2 linked regions of the Styela clava genome follow. The protein of the gene in region 2 binds, or shares a complex with, the protein of the main gene of each other region. Links are inferred from orthologs where the notes say so. Each region holds a gene or a part of one and is shown on either strand. Other genes may lie near its edges.

What was found.
Region 1: the proteins of uncharacterized protein LOC120345158 (region 2) and protein O-glucosyltransferase 1-like are in contact, whole or in part, in a crystal structure (PDB 5UB5), measured with the Homo sapiens proteins. The link is inferred for Styela clava from reciprocal best matches to the Homo sapiens genes NOTCH1 and POGLUT1. Residues at the interface, in NP_060087.3 of Homo sapiens: Asn454, Glu455, Cys456, Val457, Asn459, Pro460, Cys461, Gln462, Asn463, Asp464, Ala465, Cys467, Gly472, Glu473, Phe474, Val485, His486; in NP_689518.1 of Homo sapiens: Met103, Phe104, Pro105, Ser106, Arg107, Asp133, Gly170, Pro171, Ala172, Val173, Trp174, Pro178, Thr179, Gly180, Thr214, Asn239, Gln240, Ala241, Val274.

The regions. Positions count from the first base shown.
Region 1 is NC_135261.1:8,666,592-8,674,517, reverse strand, and holds protein O-glucosyltransferase 1-like, read right to left. Parts: upstream 3,345-7,926; 5' UTR 3,045-3,344; coding exon 1,872-3,044; 3' UTR 962-1,871; downstream 1-961. Other genes in the region: polypeptide N-acetylgalactosaminyltransferase-like 6, read right to left, coding at 253-360, 745-924. UniProt on the Homo sapiens protein: Dual specificity glycosyltransferase that catalyzes the transfer of glucose and xylose from UDP-glucose and UDP-xylose, respectively, to a serine residue found in the consensus sequence of C-X-S-X-P-C.
Region 2 is NC_135254.1:15,458,083-15,466,741, forward strand, and holds the start of uncharacterized protein LOC120345158, read left to right. Parts: upstream 1-5,290; 5' UTR 5,291-5,467; coding exon 5,468-5,534; intron 5,535-5,840; coding exon 5,841-5,904; intron 5,905-6,479; coding exon 6,480-6,589; intron 6,590-6,825; coding exon 6,826-6,989; intron 6,990-8,659. Other genes in the region: uncharacterized protein LOC120344620, read right to left, coding at 86-231. UniProt on the Homo sapiens protein: Functions as a receptor for membrane-bound ligands Jagged-1 (JAG1), Jagged-2 (JAG2) and Delta-1 (DLL1) to regulate cell-fate determination.

The sequences.
Region 1 (7,926 bases), on a different chromosome or scaffold from region 2:
ACAATTCATGCCCAACAAAGTAAAAACATCAGCTGTGAAATACCCTTTATCAAGCAATCAAAAGAAAAATTAGTCTTGCATCGTGGGCATTGTGGCCTCCCTCCGACTGCCCTGCATGGGCCCCAGGTTGTGAATAGCTGCTATACATCCAAAGCTGGCTAGTACACTTTATCGATCCTCAAAGACTAAATATTTCTCTGCCATTGCTAATGTACATCACCCTAGTTTTTCATGAAATAAATCATAACTCACCCTCTTTTCCCATTCAAAAGGTTGCGTGTTTATGGAAGACTTTTCCCCATGAGCATCATATTGTGCATATTCTTCATTTCTGTCATGTCTTGCTGGATAGTCTTTAGCCTGGGAAGACATATTGAATAGTTTGCAAGTTCAAAATCATGTATTTGTAGGAATGAATCCTCAACATTCGATCAATGAAATGTCAGTTTATCAATACAACAGATATCAGACATATAATTCAACAATTGTTTAACAACATAAAATTTGAAATTGTAGTAGGATTTGTTAGAAATTGTAAATTCTTGGGTGCTTAAAACTAAAATTGTTTTCTTGAAACATTGACTAATCTCCAGTAATATAACACTTTAATTATATTATATATAAATTATTGAACAAGATATTACTGTTAATTTTTAGCAAATAATACCCAAGCCAATGGCTCTCTTTTTCTTAGTTCGCCATGATTGTGAATCAAAAGCAAAATTAAGCAAGTTTCCAACATACTTCATGTCCAATATCAATTTGATCTAGATCGCTGTCATCACCAGCACCGTTATGCGGACTCCGTACTAAAGTTTTTTCTTTATCATCTTTCAGTGATCGAAGTTGTAAGTAATAATAAACGACTGACACAGCTACCATCAGAAGTAAAATTCGAACAAGATTTTTGGCCCTGAGCCTCATTATATATTATGGTATTTATTTATTTCATATACAATGACTAGCAAAATATTAAAGGTAGTGATTTGTTATTTTTGGCATCAAAGCAAAAGAAATTTCATATTTTCAGTTTAGGCTACAGCAAAGAACACACACATAGGAAACTAACACTAATTCACACAGCAACAAAACACAACAATAAATCGTAAACGTGTCGAGAGAACAACAATTTCCAAAGTGATTTGGCTATTCTAAGATTTCTCAAGTGGGGAGGAATTTATATTTTTTTTTCTGAGATTTTTGGTCTTGATGGGGTATTCCCAAACTTCAGCTTGCCAGTCAATATCTGGAGGTTACCCCAGACATCAGAAAGCCGTTTATATCTATAGTGGCCTAGTTGTTACCTATTGTACTTAAAAGACAAAGGACAAGTGTACTTAAAAACAATCAAGATTACAGTATAAAAATATATGAATAATCCAATTCATAAAAAAAACCACCTATTTTTGTTATTACATAAAAAGTACATAGGCAATCAACAACAAAAACCTATGAGACACCCTCATCAAAATGACTTGGAATTCAAGAATTTCCCTTTTTGTTAAATTTCAATTTCAAATAATCGAAATTGGGATATCCAAAAATCATATTGAACACTTAAAAATAAAAAATTTTGGTCATGCTTACACAACGCTCGGATTTTTTTTCATTTTCAAACCAAATGATTTTATGAATTTATATTTTGCATTACCTGTTAGAGAACATTTAACTTTTTCAGGGAAAACATCTATGTTGTACTAAGCAAACAAGAGTATGAAATTGAAAATCAGCACCATTATAAAGCCTTAATTAACCTCAGTTTTTGCATAGCTATGCAATTTTGTACCTGCATACACACTCTTTCCATAATTTATCAGTGGGTATTCCAAAATACAAAAAATTTGAATATCAACAGACAACAGTGGAGAATATCAAAATTCTGAATGCTGATTTTTTGGATGAGATAATCTCATGCATCCTTTATCACGTTTAACGCGATATTGTAGAAGTTTGCCATATTTTTTCAGAAGCTGCTTCCAGTAACACTTCACTTCCGACATTGTTAAGTATTGTTCAATAAATTCACGTCCTCTTGTAGCAATATTTTTAACAACTTGATCATTTTCTTTGGCAAATTTTAGTAATTGTTCTACAGCATTCAAATTGTCTTGGACAGGAATATAATGAACCCATGGTTTCAAAGCTGGATAAAAAAATTCAATCCAATCACTTCCCACATGGTATACAAGGGAATCACACAAGAATAAATGCTTTAATCGGAAACTCGCAGCAACACCTCGAAAATTGAAAAGATATTTATATTTACAATGTTCGAGTAGATGGACTGGCTCCGCAGGTTCTGCTCCCAATGTATCTTTATCAGATTTCCAAGCTTGATTTTTTGTATATTGAGCATCCACTAAATCTGGCTTTGATCGAGACAGTAAAATCAATGGATCCCTCATCGCTGAGGTTCTAGACCCACGAAAATATCCCTTATTTTCTTTGCGATTCCAAGGCCATTCATTTGACTTTGCTTTTAAAGACTTCATCATTTCATCCCAGCGACCTAGCCCTGTCGGATATATTGGCCAAACAGCTGGACCGCCCTCCCAAAAGGTCCATGCTGGATACATGATGTCAATATGCTGTGAAACAACTTTACTAAATGAAAACACAGGTCGAGGATCAAGGTCTCGTTTGTTTGTTTGAGGCCAATCTCTTACATTAATAATCATCTCCATATCAGGAAGATCGTCAAGAAGTTGTGTTATAAAATGTTCAATTCCAGAACATCTTGATGGAAACATGCATTTTTCTTCTCGATAAAGAATATTATCAATGATTTGATAATGAACTCCATACTTCTTAGCTCGTTCAAAATCCTCTTCTTTAATTCCACCCCTGTTTTGCCATATTTTCAAATCATTATCTATAACATTTGAATGGCAGGTGCAGTTGCCTTCACATGGTTTATAATTTTCCATTGCATTCTTGATGGAATCAAGATATTTTGACCAATCTTCAGAATCTTTGGTCAAGCATAGATTGTGTAACATAATAAAAATGCATAGACATGGTATAATCCAAGTTTTTCTTGCCATGTTGGTTACAGCATACAGACACCACCAAGTTACCAGAATCTACCAAAACCTAATTTACACACTAATACATTAGGATAATATAGCACACTTCCTAATACATTCTCTGCATAAATATTGTTAGTTAGATCTTGCAGTCCCAGTAAAAATTTAAATGAAAATAGCCAATTTTCCAGCTTGAAGAAAGTTTGAACTGTACGATCCTGTTCCGATTGCAATCACAAATGGGCACTGTAAGCAAAAAGTTACAGTGAATTTTCTGTAGAGTCACTGGGCGAATAATTCTTCAGAATAAATCTGATTACCTAATAGTATAATATTTAGCCATTTGTGTTCAATAGAATAGTATTATTCAGAACAACATTATTCATCACAACATCAACCCAGCTTGGTAACAAGGGCAAGCACATTTTATTTTTATTTGAACTCTGTCAGCATGAACAAATATTTAAAACAAATATTTTTTTTCAAATCAACATACTGTTGAGTGAATACCTATTTCTTTTTGCACAACTCTAGCAACAACAGCATTCTGGCATTTGGTTTAATTTCACTCAGCAGTCATTTTTATATCTTTTTAAGTAACACGTAAGTATATTTTCAAAAGTATATTTTCAAAGGTATATTTTTGAAATTTTCAGTCAAAAAAAAATAACCTTTTCTTTACCGGTCTTACTACTTACTGAATACAGCGCGAAACACCGCAAAGAGCGCGAAACAGCGCAAAAGAGCGCGAAACAGCGCAAAATAGCGCGAAACAACGCAAAACAGAGGGAAACAGCGCAAAATGGTGGGGAAACAGCGCAAAAGAGCGCGAAAGAGCGCAAAACAGAGGGAAACAGTGTGAAGCAGAAAAAAATTTTGCAATGAGTTCGGGGCACCTTGTTTTGAGTTGGATTACCACGGCAGCAAATTAAAAACACAAACCAACGTATGTAGCCAGTAATGCTGTAATGGCAGGTCTGCCCCTGCTGGTGACACATTTTGGGTACCATAATTTAGAACATTTTCCATGTGGATATGGTTGGCTTTAGGGTTAGGGTTAGGTAAAAAGGGACCTCCAGAAGTATGTGCACCAAGATGGCGCACAACCTGAAAATAGTATGTGTGTGTGTGTGTGTAGCGGATTCAGGTTGTGCGACATATTGCTGCACATACTTCTGGAGCACCAAAAAGGTAGATAAAATTTCGCATGATGACCTATAATCCGGTACATAACCTTGTAAATATACCGGAAATCATGCCATAAAACCATGGCGAGAGGCGCCGTGGTTCTTTCGTGGCAGGAGGTGGTAATAACTGCGTCTCCTGTTTTGCGCTGTTTCCCTCTGTTTTGCGCTGGTTTCCTTTTGTTTCGCGCTGTTTTCCTCTGTTTTGCGCTGTTTCGCGCTCTTTTGCGCTGTTTCGCGCTGTTTTGCGGTGTTTCGCGCTGTATTCAGTAAGTAGTAAGACCCTTTCTTTACTCCATTTACATTTATCTGGAATGAGAATGTTGTTGAACTAATGAAATCTCATTCTGTCATTGTGGCGCAACTGTGCTTTGGTAGTAAAAACTCTTGTAAATTATTCATAAGGAAAGAACTACTTTAATTGAATATTCATCAGTGGCCGCAATATTCAAGACTTGGAATTCTCCTCATTTGCTGACCTCCAAAATATCAAAGATGCTCAAAACTGAAATGTATTTTTTCACAAAGCAATTGGAAAGATTACAGTAATAAAATATACCAACATATTCAATCAGCTTGGATGAGATATAAGATCTCAAAAGCAGTTGATGAAACCTTAAATCAATAGAAAAACAGTTCTCCAATTGCAAAATGTAGTGACGTTTGGTTCAATAAAACAAACACCGTATTTTTCTCTGAAATGAGGGCCTCTGGCACGCCATCAAATGCGCCAGATCATGTCAAGCGTGTTTCAGTAATAATTTAAATCATTGGTGACTGCGTTGGCCTGCAGATTATCAAGATTGCGTTCTTTTTCTTAAAAACCCTTGAATGCTACAGTAATTTTTTTTTTCTTTGGTAAATAAGGATTAAATTTTTTCTAAGGAATCTAATGGTGACATTTTCAGAATGTGCTTACATTTTATTTTATTGCGCAGTACCCTATTAGCAGACACACAGCTGCACGGGTCAAAGCAAACCATGTCTAACTACAGACAGAATTCAGACATATCTCTGTATTTCACTGTAATTCCTGGATCCAAATAATGAATTTTTTTCCTATCTGACTGTCGATGCTGAAATGCATATAGATAGACAAGTGACAGTTCCATTGGATGTAAAAAATGAGTGAAATAAATTGCATTGCAAGGTAACTTACATCTATATACAGGTAAGTTAAGTCTGTAAGTGGATGTCGCTGAATCAGTCATCGAGAATGTGATATAATGCGAGTTATCCCTAAACGTATGAGTAAATATATAGGCTACCTGTTTCAGCTTTTTCTAACTTAATAAAGGGTACCGGTACTGATTTACACGTGTCACAAACATAAAATAACGTTGCAAATGCAGGGTTCGTACAGTAATTTGACCCTTGTGTGTAGCACGTCACAATAGAAAATCAACCGAGCGTGAACAATGAGAAATTTTTATTGCTTTTTTTGCCAGTGCCGAACCACAACAAAGCAGTGGTGCGTATCATTACCTATGGAAGTGCTTCCCAACTAGGGGTAACTACCCCAAGAGGTATAATTTGGCCATTTTTAGGTTGAAATTTAGCTAGACGTTCACTGTTTTATCAATTTCTTTTATAATAGAATTTACATATTTATCCCGGGGGAAAGGAAAGCCGACAAGACGGCTTATTCATATGGCGAACCACGGCCTCTCGTCCGGTTACCATTCCATGTCGGGTTTGGGATTAGTTAGCTACTTGTTTTTCGGAAGCATGGACTTGACGGTGGAGGAAGCCGTAACCAACCAGCGGTTACGTAAACCACCCTACGGCGGCGAGGAGTCCAGCAATCCTCTCGCACACAACCATTCCGCATGGGATTCGAACCTGCGAACCCTCGCAGAGTAATTAGTGATGCGGTGGCGAGCGTATTCCTAACGCTTATCACGATGAGCCGCGCCGCACCGGAATGCAGGAGAGAAGTGAAGAACGAACTATTGCGTGATTGGGATGCCATTCCCGAAAATTTTCTTGTCTTCTCTGTTCTCAGATATGAACTTTATTAAGTTTCGTAACAGGAGTAGCCTGGAAGATGAAACCAGTAGTTTGTGTATATCTTTGAAAGTTACAAAATATAATTCCAATGTAAAATCTCTATCAGCGGCAATGCAGCAGAAGAAGTCTCACTGATATAGAATAAGAAAAGTAATCAAATATATTTGTCTGTCTGAGAATTTGTCTGTACATGTTTAAAAGGTTTATTATTGTGTATTTTTGTATTGAAAATAGCAAAGCATTGTTTTTAATTTTGGTCGGCACGCGGAAGAATTTTGTGGGTAAATTTAGTCGATTTTAGCACGCGAGCCGAAAAAGGTTGCCCATCCCTGGCCTAGGATAAATATAAAAATTCTAGAAAGGGTTGCTTGTAAGTACTCGGCAGTCTCACTATGAAATTCTCCGTGCACTTGACCGTAGCATTGTCGTTTTATCTTTGCTTCGGTGGTCGCTGTCGATCTAGATTCTAGGTCGTGACTTCACAGACATACTTGAAACGGTTGAGATTTCCATATTTAGTCGGAAATCCCCTGGTACTGCTGCAGTATATATGATTCACCCCAAGGGTTTCATCCGAGGTTTACCCAGTAATTTAATTTCAGTATCACGTATTATAGTAGTTTTAAATATGATGTATTATAGTAGATTTCAGTATTGGATGAGGTAAGTTTCTAGAAAAAAAAATTCCATACACAACATATGACAATGCCAGAATAAAAACATTCAAATTATAATTTATTGTAGTTAGTTGGATCATGTCATTGTTTGTATTTTTCCTAAAGAAAGCCTGTCTACATGCAACTCTGGTATTCATTCAACAGCGTTTCGCTGTGAGCGACACAGAATTTTCGTCGTGAATTGCTTTAATTTACTGTTGGGGATTTTAGTTTGATGCGGTTTTTCATTTTCAAGCATGCATTCTGTAAGCATGCATTTTGTGTTGTACTTTGTGGAGTTCTAAAAGTTTGATTGTCAGGACACAGTTTTTATTGAGAACCAGGCTTTGGCAGTTAACCCTTAAATATATATCGGAGCACCGATGGATTCCCAGCCCCGCGACCTGCAAAATATGCATTTTTTAAACTGAACATTTTTTGGCGATTCATTCAATATTTAGGGTGAGGCCCTACGGGCATAACTGAAGATTTTGAAGGGGAGGGGTCTGAAATTTTTAATTGACAAGTTAGACCAAAACACCTAGCAGATCTGATCGGAAGCCGGCAAATGTTAGTTTATAATAGTCCCGATGGTCAACTCTAAAAAGTGTTTCAAGCCACAAATATTTATATGTATGATATAGTAGAACAATTTAGAAGACTTTTATTTTACACTTAAAGGGGGGTCTGACAGATGTTTGGTCTAATATGGTATATCACATGTTGAAGGTACCAGTAATTGGAGCCCTTCATACGCTGGAGAAGCAATGAAATGTTTTTTTTTTAAATATGACTACAAAGTGCGTTGCATGTAGCTGTATAGCATTTATTTTGTTAAAAAATCCTTGAGCTAATCACCTGTTGTAGACTTTGTTGTTTTTTAAATATGACTACAAAGTGTGTTGCATGTAGCTGTATAGCATTTATTTTGTTAAAAAATCCTTGAGCTAATCACCTGTTGTAGACTTTCAGTGTGTAAAATAATTTATGAAATTTTAGCTGATCTACTGCAGTCTTTTGTGTCCAGATGTTTCAGAGAGTAGTAGTAGA
Region 2 (8,659 bases):
GATTGTTTCAATGGGACGCGAATGGGAAATCAATGGTCGGTTGTACGTTTTTAGATTATTTGAAAAAACCCCTAACCATATTCACCTGATTTCACTTTCCACGTAAATCATGTTCGATTTCTTTGTGATGTCAATATTCCTTAATTCCTGTTCCATCAAGCAATTCAATCGAAGAGCTCTATTTCTTGTATTTTTGTAATTCGATTTTGATGAATTACCGTCGATACTCATTTTCAATATAATGTGTTATAAAAATATTCGCTATTTACATTTATTTTACGAAAATAGCTTTCTATCCTTCTTTGTACTGTATATTCAAGTCGTATTTTACGCGATGTGGATGACTGCCCACAAAGTCAGTTATAGATAAACCTACGCTCCTCGATGAAAAATAAATTAATATTTTCAATAAATTTAGACAGACCTTCCAGGTAATGTATTCCCTTCTACAAAATCTGAAACTACAGCGTGCATCTGTATCAATGAAATACATTCTGTCAAACAAATGGACATCAAATATATTGTCCTGCACAGAGATTTTTTTTTGAGTGAAGCGATTCTAACGAATGAAGTTAGTAACTGAGATACGTTGTAACTCAACTCAAATTAGCCATAAATATAAATGGTGATTCTTAGCGTAAAAGAAAACAAGAAACACTACACCTGTGCGACAGATCTGTCTAACTTCCAATCTCTAAGTTGCTAAAACCGACAGCTCGTTTTTCCAAGTAGCCTACTTTGGCTGTCGTAAATACCTAGATCAGAAAGGGCCAATCCGCACTTTCACATAGGTTTGATTGTTCAAAATGTCCACATACACAACAATTCTCCGGTGCGCGCCTACTCATATGTATAAATAATACTCTTTCAGGTTTGCTTTCATTAAAAACATTAAAACTGTTCAGTCAGTCTCATGAAAATAATATTTAGGTGTCAACATTATAACAGCGCTGAAATTAAATTGACGCAGTTCAGGGTACTTTTGTATTTGTTCTTTTACTTGTTTGGTTATTTGCGCTAAGCTGGCCTATAAATTAAGCATATATACATATAAATCCACAGGTTTAATAAAGATTTGAGTAACATCTTCAATACTATAAACCGATTTAAAGTAATGAACCTATGATGATGATCAACTGTTAAGGCTAAGAAATATACAAGGTCAAACTTTTTTAATTGGACAAACTTCTTAAATGCAACTTGTTATATATATATACATGTATATATGAAGTGTGTCATGGAAAATCATTTATGCCATTTTATATGTTTCTTTTTTATGCAGTCTATATTTATCTAGCATTCACCGGGTGCTAAATGCTCATGTCTTACACATTGTGGTTGTTTTCATACATTTGCGAAATACTCTCAGTCAGAGATTCACCAGAAAAATAAATCTGTCATGCGAGTTTAGAGTCAATCCTCGATGTACGGAAATACTTCTACAATTATATATATACAATACTATTCAATGGGGAACTGCTGACTCTCGGGTCACAAAGCATGACCCATCATGTTTTTACGAATTAATGCAAAAAACATACTGGACTTAAAATTTCAACAGTAAGCTGAGTATAGTAGGCTACATCGTTACCAACTGCCAACAGTGCCTTCACAAATCTTATAGCATACAATGGATCTGATAACTTTTGTAACTTTCACAAATTGGCATGGTTTTGAGGAGATTGTTTCTGTTTATTACAGCAGTTACATTTTAGAGGTGCAATGGTTCTGGAAGTATCCGAGAGCCATACTCATGTTCCTTTGCCGTTCATTCTTCTTTGGCATTCAGTGTCGTTTGGAAAACATAATTTTGTTGACTTGAATTAGAAATCTGAAATGAAGATGGAGCGGGATGGTGGTGACTTTACTTCGGTTGAGAGTAGATCGAAGACGATAGTAGAATTTTCTTTCAAACTCTTTCGAATGTAGGAGAAGTTTTTACCCAGCATTGTTTACGTCTTTGTTTATACTTATACACGCGAACCCGTGTTTTCACACACTAACATAAGTTGCATAAAATCGAGTATCTGTAATCGTCACAGTCCTGAAAAAAGTGCTGTTTGTGTAAAGATCAAAACTGCGCACTATCTATGAGCAAATGACGCAAATTCCCCTTTTTTCTAATTAAAAAGTTCGTAATTTAAATCCTTGCTATGGATGTTTCCCCGATCATCGATTGCCTTGTTTATTTCTGTAACAATGACCAATCAGCAAAAAAGTAAACGATGACGTAACAATGGTAATTTTTTTACAGACGCCCTGTTCGGTTGTAAACATTACCTCGTTTTCGTGGTTTTGCGTGTTATTTGTCAGATTTCAGTTGTGTTTCTAAAAATTAGTTGTAAATGAAGTAATTTAATTGTCAATATGTCTCCCGATGAGCTTTAGTTTAGTTGCAGTAATCAAAAATCAGTCCCAGAAAAGCTGCGATAGACTATGCTCAAAGTAAAGTAAGCTATCAGTACCTCTTAGCGGCAACTGGTTGTATATTTTGAAAAAAATATGATGGTTTTTGATCATGTAACTAAGTTTGTAAGTGCCAACTTTTCAATAAGCAACCAAAATGTTGCAATAGCAAAGTATGGGGAGAATTTTTCTGGGGTCACGGGTCGGGGAAACATCCTATATATAGATATTACGATTTCAGTTGATTGTAAAACATTGAGTAATGTCAGTGGTATATCAATACGACAAACACTGGACACATATTGTTGTGGAATCTGCGACAGTAGCATAAAAAGTTGATAAAATAGATGGATTGAATTATGCCCACCACTCGTTTCGTGCACTACTGCCGCTATGTCAGTCGCTGGTCTCTCTATGTGCTTGTGCATCCAGCGACTGTTTCGAACCTATTGGCCGATCTAAAAAATATTCATGAATAGCGATCTACATGTAGTTCTTAGTGTCGTTGATTATTGCAAATTTTTAGCAGTAAATTATAGAAAAAAAATATTCGTTTTTCATTCGAGGTGAGGAAATATGATTATCGAATTGATAAATTAATAAACCAGTTCTTTCCGTTCACTTTGCGCTTACCTGTCAAGATGCATACATAGCATTTGGTGTTGCACGAAGCAGACACTGACCAATGACTATCCAAATCACCATGCGCCCAAGTAATAATTATTAGTTGAGCCAACTCATAATATTCAATAAAATCTGCTAACTATCAGATAAAAATGTTTTGATTAATTGATGTTAACATTCTACTCATTCATATTCAAAAATGTATGAGATTATTACTCCATGCACCATTGGCGACTGTCGCTGCTGGACTGGAGCTTGCCTGTCGTGATTTCCTGCAGACTGTCGTAAATCTGTAAATAAAGAAACCCAGACGCGACGGGAACTTGATAGCTGTTTTCTATCTATTGCAAGGAAGTACTAGCCAAGCAACCAGCGGGATATTTGTCGCAAATATGCAATTGTCAATGCAGCGATATTCCAGTATTTGCTTACACACGACAAGTTTAAGTGATAGGCTCAAAACTAGGAGGTACCCAGGTACCGGCAGACCGGTACCGTAATTCAGTACAGCAGTACGGTAATGCAGTTTCTAGGGAACCGGTTTTAGACAGGATTAATAATACCTCTTTGTCAGCGTGTCAGTTAATAAGCTGAATATCTTTAACTGTTGTTAATCATATGCAAAATTCTGAAATATAATTTTCTGAATCTGAAATTTTCACGATCACCATAAGACAGTAAGAAGGAAAGTAGAGACCAAATAATAGTCTTATGTCTGTTCTGGTACCGGTACCGGTATGTTGTATTGACTGACTGTACTTTTTGTCATTTACGACAACATACATAAGACATTATTTTAGAGTTTGAGTACCATACTATAAATCTGTATGCTGGTATGCGAGTATTTCAAACTACTGTTATAAACGTCTATAGTCTGATAGTAGTCTTTGTACCGTATAATTCTAGTGAAGTAGTATAGAACAAACTAAAATTTTTGTCTAATTTCAAACTTTTTTGTATGGTATTTTCTGTATATTTACCAAAAATCTTTTAGCAAGGCGGCGGTGTGGCTCAACGGGCTAAGCGTTAGGAATACGCTCGCCACCGCACCTCTAATTACTCTGCGTGGGTTCGCAGGTTCGAATCCCATGTAGGGATGGTTATGTGCGAGAGGATTGCTGGACTCCTCGCCGTCGTTGGGTGGTTCACGTAACCGCTGGTCGGTTACGGCTTCCTCCACCACCAAGTCCATGCTTCCGAAGACAAACAATACAGTAAAAACTAATCCCATACCCGACTTGGAATGGTAACCGGACGAGAGGCCGTGGTTCGCCATATGGATAAGCCGTCTTATCGGCTTTCCTCTCCCCCGGGATAAATATGTAAATCCTATCCTATCCTATCCTATCCTTAAAAGCATGCAGTCAGTGAATACTGAAATAAGCTTACTCATAAATAATTAAAAATTTCAAAATATTAAATTAATAATTAGATGAAAAATACTAACCATTGTACTGTTGTAAGCAGTGTAGTAAAGAACTAAGGAATTTCTATTGTGTCTATTGGAGTTGGATGTATTACTGCATTATTAAGAATTTAAACAAGAAGATGTTAATTTTGAATTGAACACCTCCAAATAAATAAAAAAAAAAACTAAAATACCTTATCAAAATATTTAATTATGGATATTCTCAAATAAAGTAAACAATAATATGATTTTTATATCTTCGGATTAACAGCTCAACCAAATTCATCTCTTCATTTTGGAGCCCCACAAGGGAGAAAATCTCACACTCAATACTACTTGATTCATGTATTGATTTTTAGGTTAATCTCTTATTAATCTTATGGATGCAATAATGTCACTGAAAGATTAGTGCCATAACTGTATAATAATATATTATAGAATGTGGGAACTGTTTTAATAATCATTATGCTTTTAAACTGCTAGCTTGATATTTCTAGTTAAGCATTTTGAGCTATAGAAGCAAGACAGATTAGTCTGAGTTACAACACTGCCATATTTCCCAACTTGGGAGGGATTCCTTACCAAGGAGAAATATTGTCACTCGAGGAGGAATTTTGCTTTATATATGCTGTAGTCTTACAAGTATTGTTTAGTTCTTTATCCTTACTGTAGCACTTCTCTTGTGCATAACACTAGCTAAAAATCGATATATGAATACAGTTTTTTTATGTGTAGGGAGAGAGGAACATAGAGTTCCAAATAAGTTGAAGAAAGAAATTGAACGAAAAATATTGGGAAGCACTGGTTTATTTGAACGTCTTGGGGGTAGTAGGCTGTTTTTGATATAATGTATTCAATATTTTACAGATGATAGTTCAGTTAATTCCTTATCCACTGAAATAAAAGAAGGAATGTAATCAGCAATAAAGAGATCAAGTTAATTTATTTAATAAGGTTTTATCATATTTTACTCTTGTGACATACATATTGTATCGTATGTCGAGGAAGTGGATTTAACTTCAACAAAAAATGGATTTACCTCAATTTCGGATTATTTTTCAAGCGGCAATTTTTCTTCCATTTTTATTTGTTTACGGTATGTTATTTATTCTATTGTTTCATACAGTGTTGTAGATTGTTTTAGTCAGATATTTATCTAAAAAAGTCAATTGTGGAATGAAAATTCTCACATGAGTACAGTTGAGCTGTATAGGAGCATTCTTCACAATATTTCACCGAAATAAAATAGGAGATTAAATATTGCTTGATATATGTGATTTCTTCCTTGGTCATATTTTTGAGAAAATTTATGTGTATTGACGCTGTTTTATATTTTAGCGAGAATAATGAAGTTAAATAAAAATGTGCTTGGAATATGTTAATTATATGTTTCATTTTTTAGCATCTGGTTGTTCATCTAATGCGGATTGCACAAGTGGCCAAATATGTATAAGTTCAGTTTGCAGGTAATGTTTGCTACGTTCATTTTCATCTATTTATTGCATTGAGTTTTGTGGGAAAAATTTCGTATGTGCTATTGTGTTCAAACATAATTATGGGAAATTTTTCGTCTCTGTTTATTTGAAGAAATCAACAATTTGTATCCGTATGTTTCAAATACATAAAATAGCTGGTTTTCATTTAAATGATTATCACGTTATTGTATATCTATTAATGTTGAATATCAATTTTATGTTAACAGGATATGTATAGACCATTTAATTACATCCTGATTGCGTCTAGTTATAGGTTGTGCATGTATTACACCAATTAATTTGCAATATTCAGTTTTATATTTATTCTGAATATGCCTAATTTATACTATTTATCCGACTTTGTATTTTTTATAAAACAATTAACGGTACAAATAAAATTGTTTTCGAAACTTCTATTTTAAGAATTTATAGTATATTTTGAAAAAGACCCTGAACTTTGAGGATTTTACTCATTTTTAGGCATTTAGGCTGATTTTATTTTTTTCTTAAATTATTTAATATGAATGAATTTTATTCATAAAACTATCACATTATTTCTTTTATAGTGTATCTCCATGTGCTTCATCACCTTGTGATAATAGCGGAACGTGTGGCGTAGTAGCAACATCTTCCACTGACTATACATGGCAATGTTCTTGCCCATCTACATATATGGGTAAGCATATTTGAGAGTTTTGAAAGATTTAAAGTTATTACCACTTTATTGATGTGCCATCAAAATTTACCGTATTCATTTTTTTCACATCAGTCGGTCATGATTTTCTAATCTGAACTATTTTAAGGCATCTATTAGAGTGTGCCAGTTCCTTATATGGAACATTATTATTTACTGATTGTTTGTAATCATTTCTGGCGAATTCTATAATGAAATTTATTCTGTGTTTTCTTTAGGGACCACATGCAGTGATTACAATTACTGTCATTCAAACCCATGCAATCACGGAACTTGTACTGTCGTGTCAAACAGTTTTGAATGCACTTGCACGGATGGCTATTATGGTGACACGTGTGCCAATGATAAAGATGAATGTTCTGACAATCCTAACCTATGTGCGGTATGCCGATTCATTATATTACTCAATAATAGACATTGTTAATTCTATCTTTGTACCTTGGATACTAAGGCTGTTATCATAATTTTCCATATAGCTTACACTATGAAAAATCCAGCAATGTAACCATCGGAGGCAGTAATTCACAGTTTATTTACAGAAATAAAATTTCCGTTCACCTGGAAATTATATTTTTCGATACTGAGTCAATGATGCACACTATATCATATCCCTACATGTATGATGCAGTGACCGTTTTTTTACTAGTAATAGGGGTGATGCATACTGTGTCACTTATGTAAGCAAGAGTTTAAATGTACAGTGGTTAAACTGGGGTAATATGAGCATCAAAAACTAAAATTAGATTGTGTACTATACTATTAAATTGTTTAGCAGCTTAAAGCTTTTGATTTTATCAAGCTGGTGAAACTTGGTACGAAGTCTTCAACTAGTTCGTTCGTTGTTTAAAAAAAATAATGATATTTAAAAAACCCTGATTTTCATGAATCAGGATAGTAGCATCATCAACATGAGTTATGGCACATATCTTAAAGAAATCATATTCTAGAATATTTTCATCATTATGTGACAGCTCACCCTCATAAATTCCGACAATACCATGCCAATATTTGATTGATTATTGATAGGATTATTTAAAAAACTATATTTTTAATTTGTAATAGACTGTTTATCCGCAAAATGAACAGTATTTTAAACAAAGTTTAAGACATATATGGACACCAGACATATATAGACATTTGTGAAACGTAGCTCCCGCTTACGAAACTCTTTATTGTTCGAATCAACTGATTTGCGCTTGTTTTGCTTCAACTTCCGTGATCATTCAATTAAATGTAATTATCAAATTACTTCGGGTACTTAATTATATGATACTTCAGGAATTTTTAATCGCCAGAAGCAAAAGTCTTTAACATAAAATAAAATATCTAAGTATAATGGTGTTACGTTGGGGAACAAGTAGACAATTGTATTTTAATTGACCAACAAGGTGAATTCCTTCAGCTTCTATTATGTATAACTCTTAACCTAAATTGCTTAGTCAAGCGGAACATTTTATTAATTTGTAATGATGAATTTATTACTTTATAAATTTTATGTAATTTGTTTATTGTCTCCCCCTCATGCAAAATTATTGTTACTCTTTTTATGAGCGCATCATCTTTCGCTTGTGAGAATTTAACGACTATAGTTCCAAGTGCCACTTATAATTTGTGCCTCGTTATCGTTTATTGTTATTTAAAATTAAGAGTAGGTGTCTTTTATCATTGTTCCTTTCAAGGATGACTGACTTAATGTATTATAGATTTTCAGTTTCAAACTTTGATTTTCATCTACTCCATACAGGCAAAATTATTGATGTACTGGGTGACTCAAAAAAAACTGAACCCACAAATTTCTTGATCACTTTTGAAGGAAATACATTTAACTCATAAACTTATGTTTGTATATGATTGTATCCAAAAGTTTCAGTAACACTTAGCACAAAAGTTAAGTTCTCTCTAGAATATATTCCAAATGACATGGGTTCTCTTTTGACGTCACCCTGTACCATTCTCCTGGGTAACTTATGTAGTTATGTAGTAAAAGATAACCTATAATCCTATATCACTATTTTTTTGGAAAATTTATTAGAAAATAATAGATTCAAACAT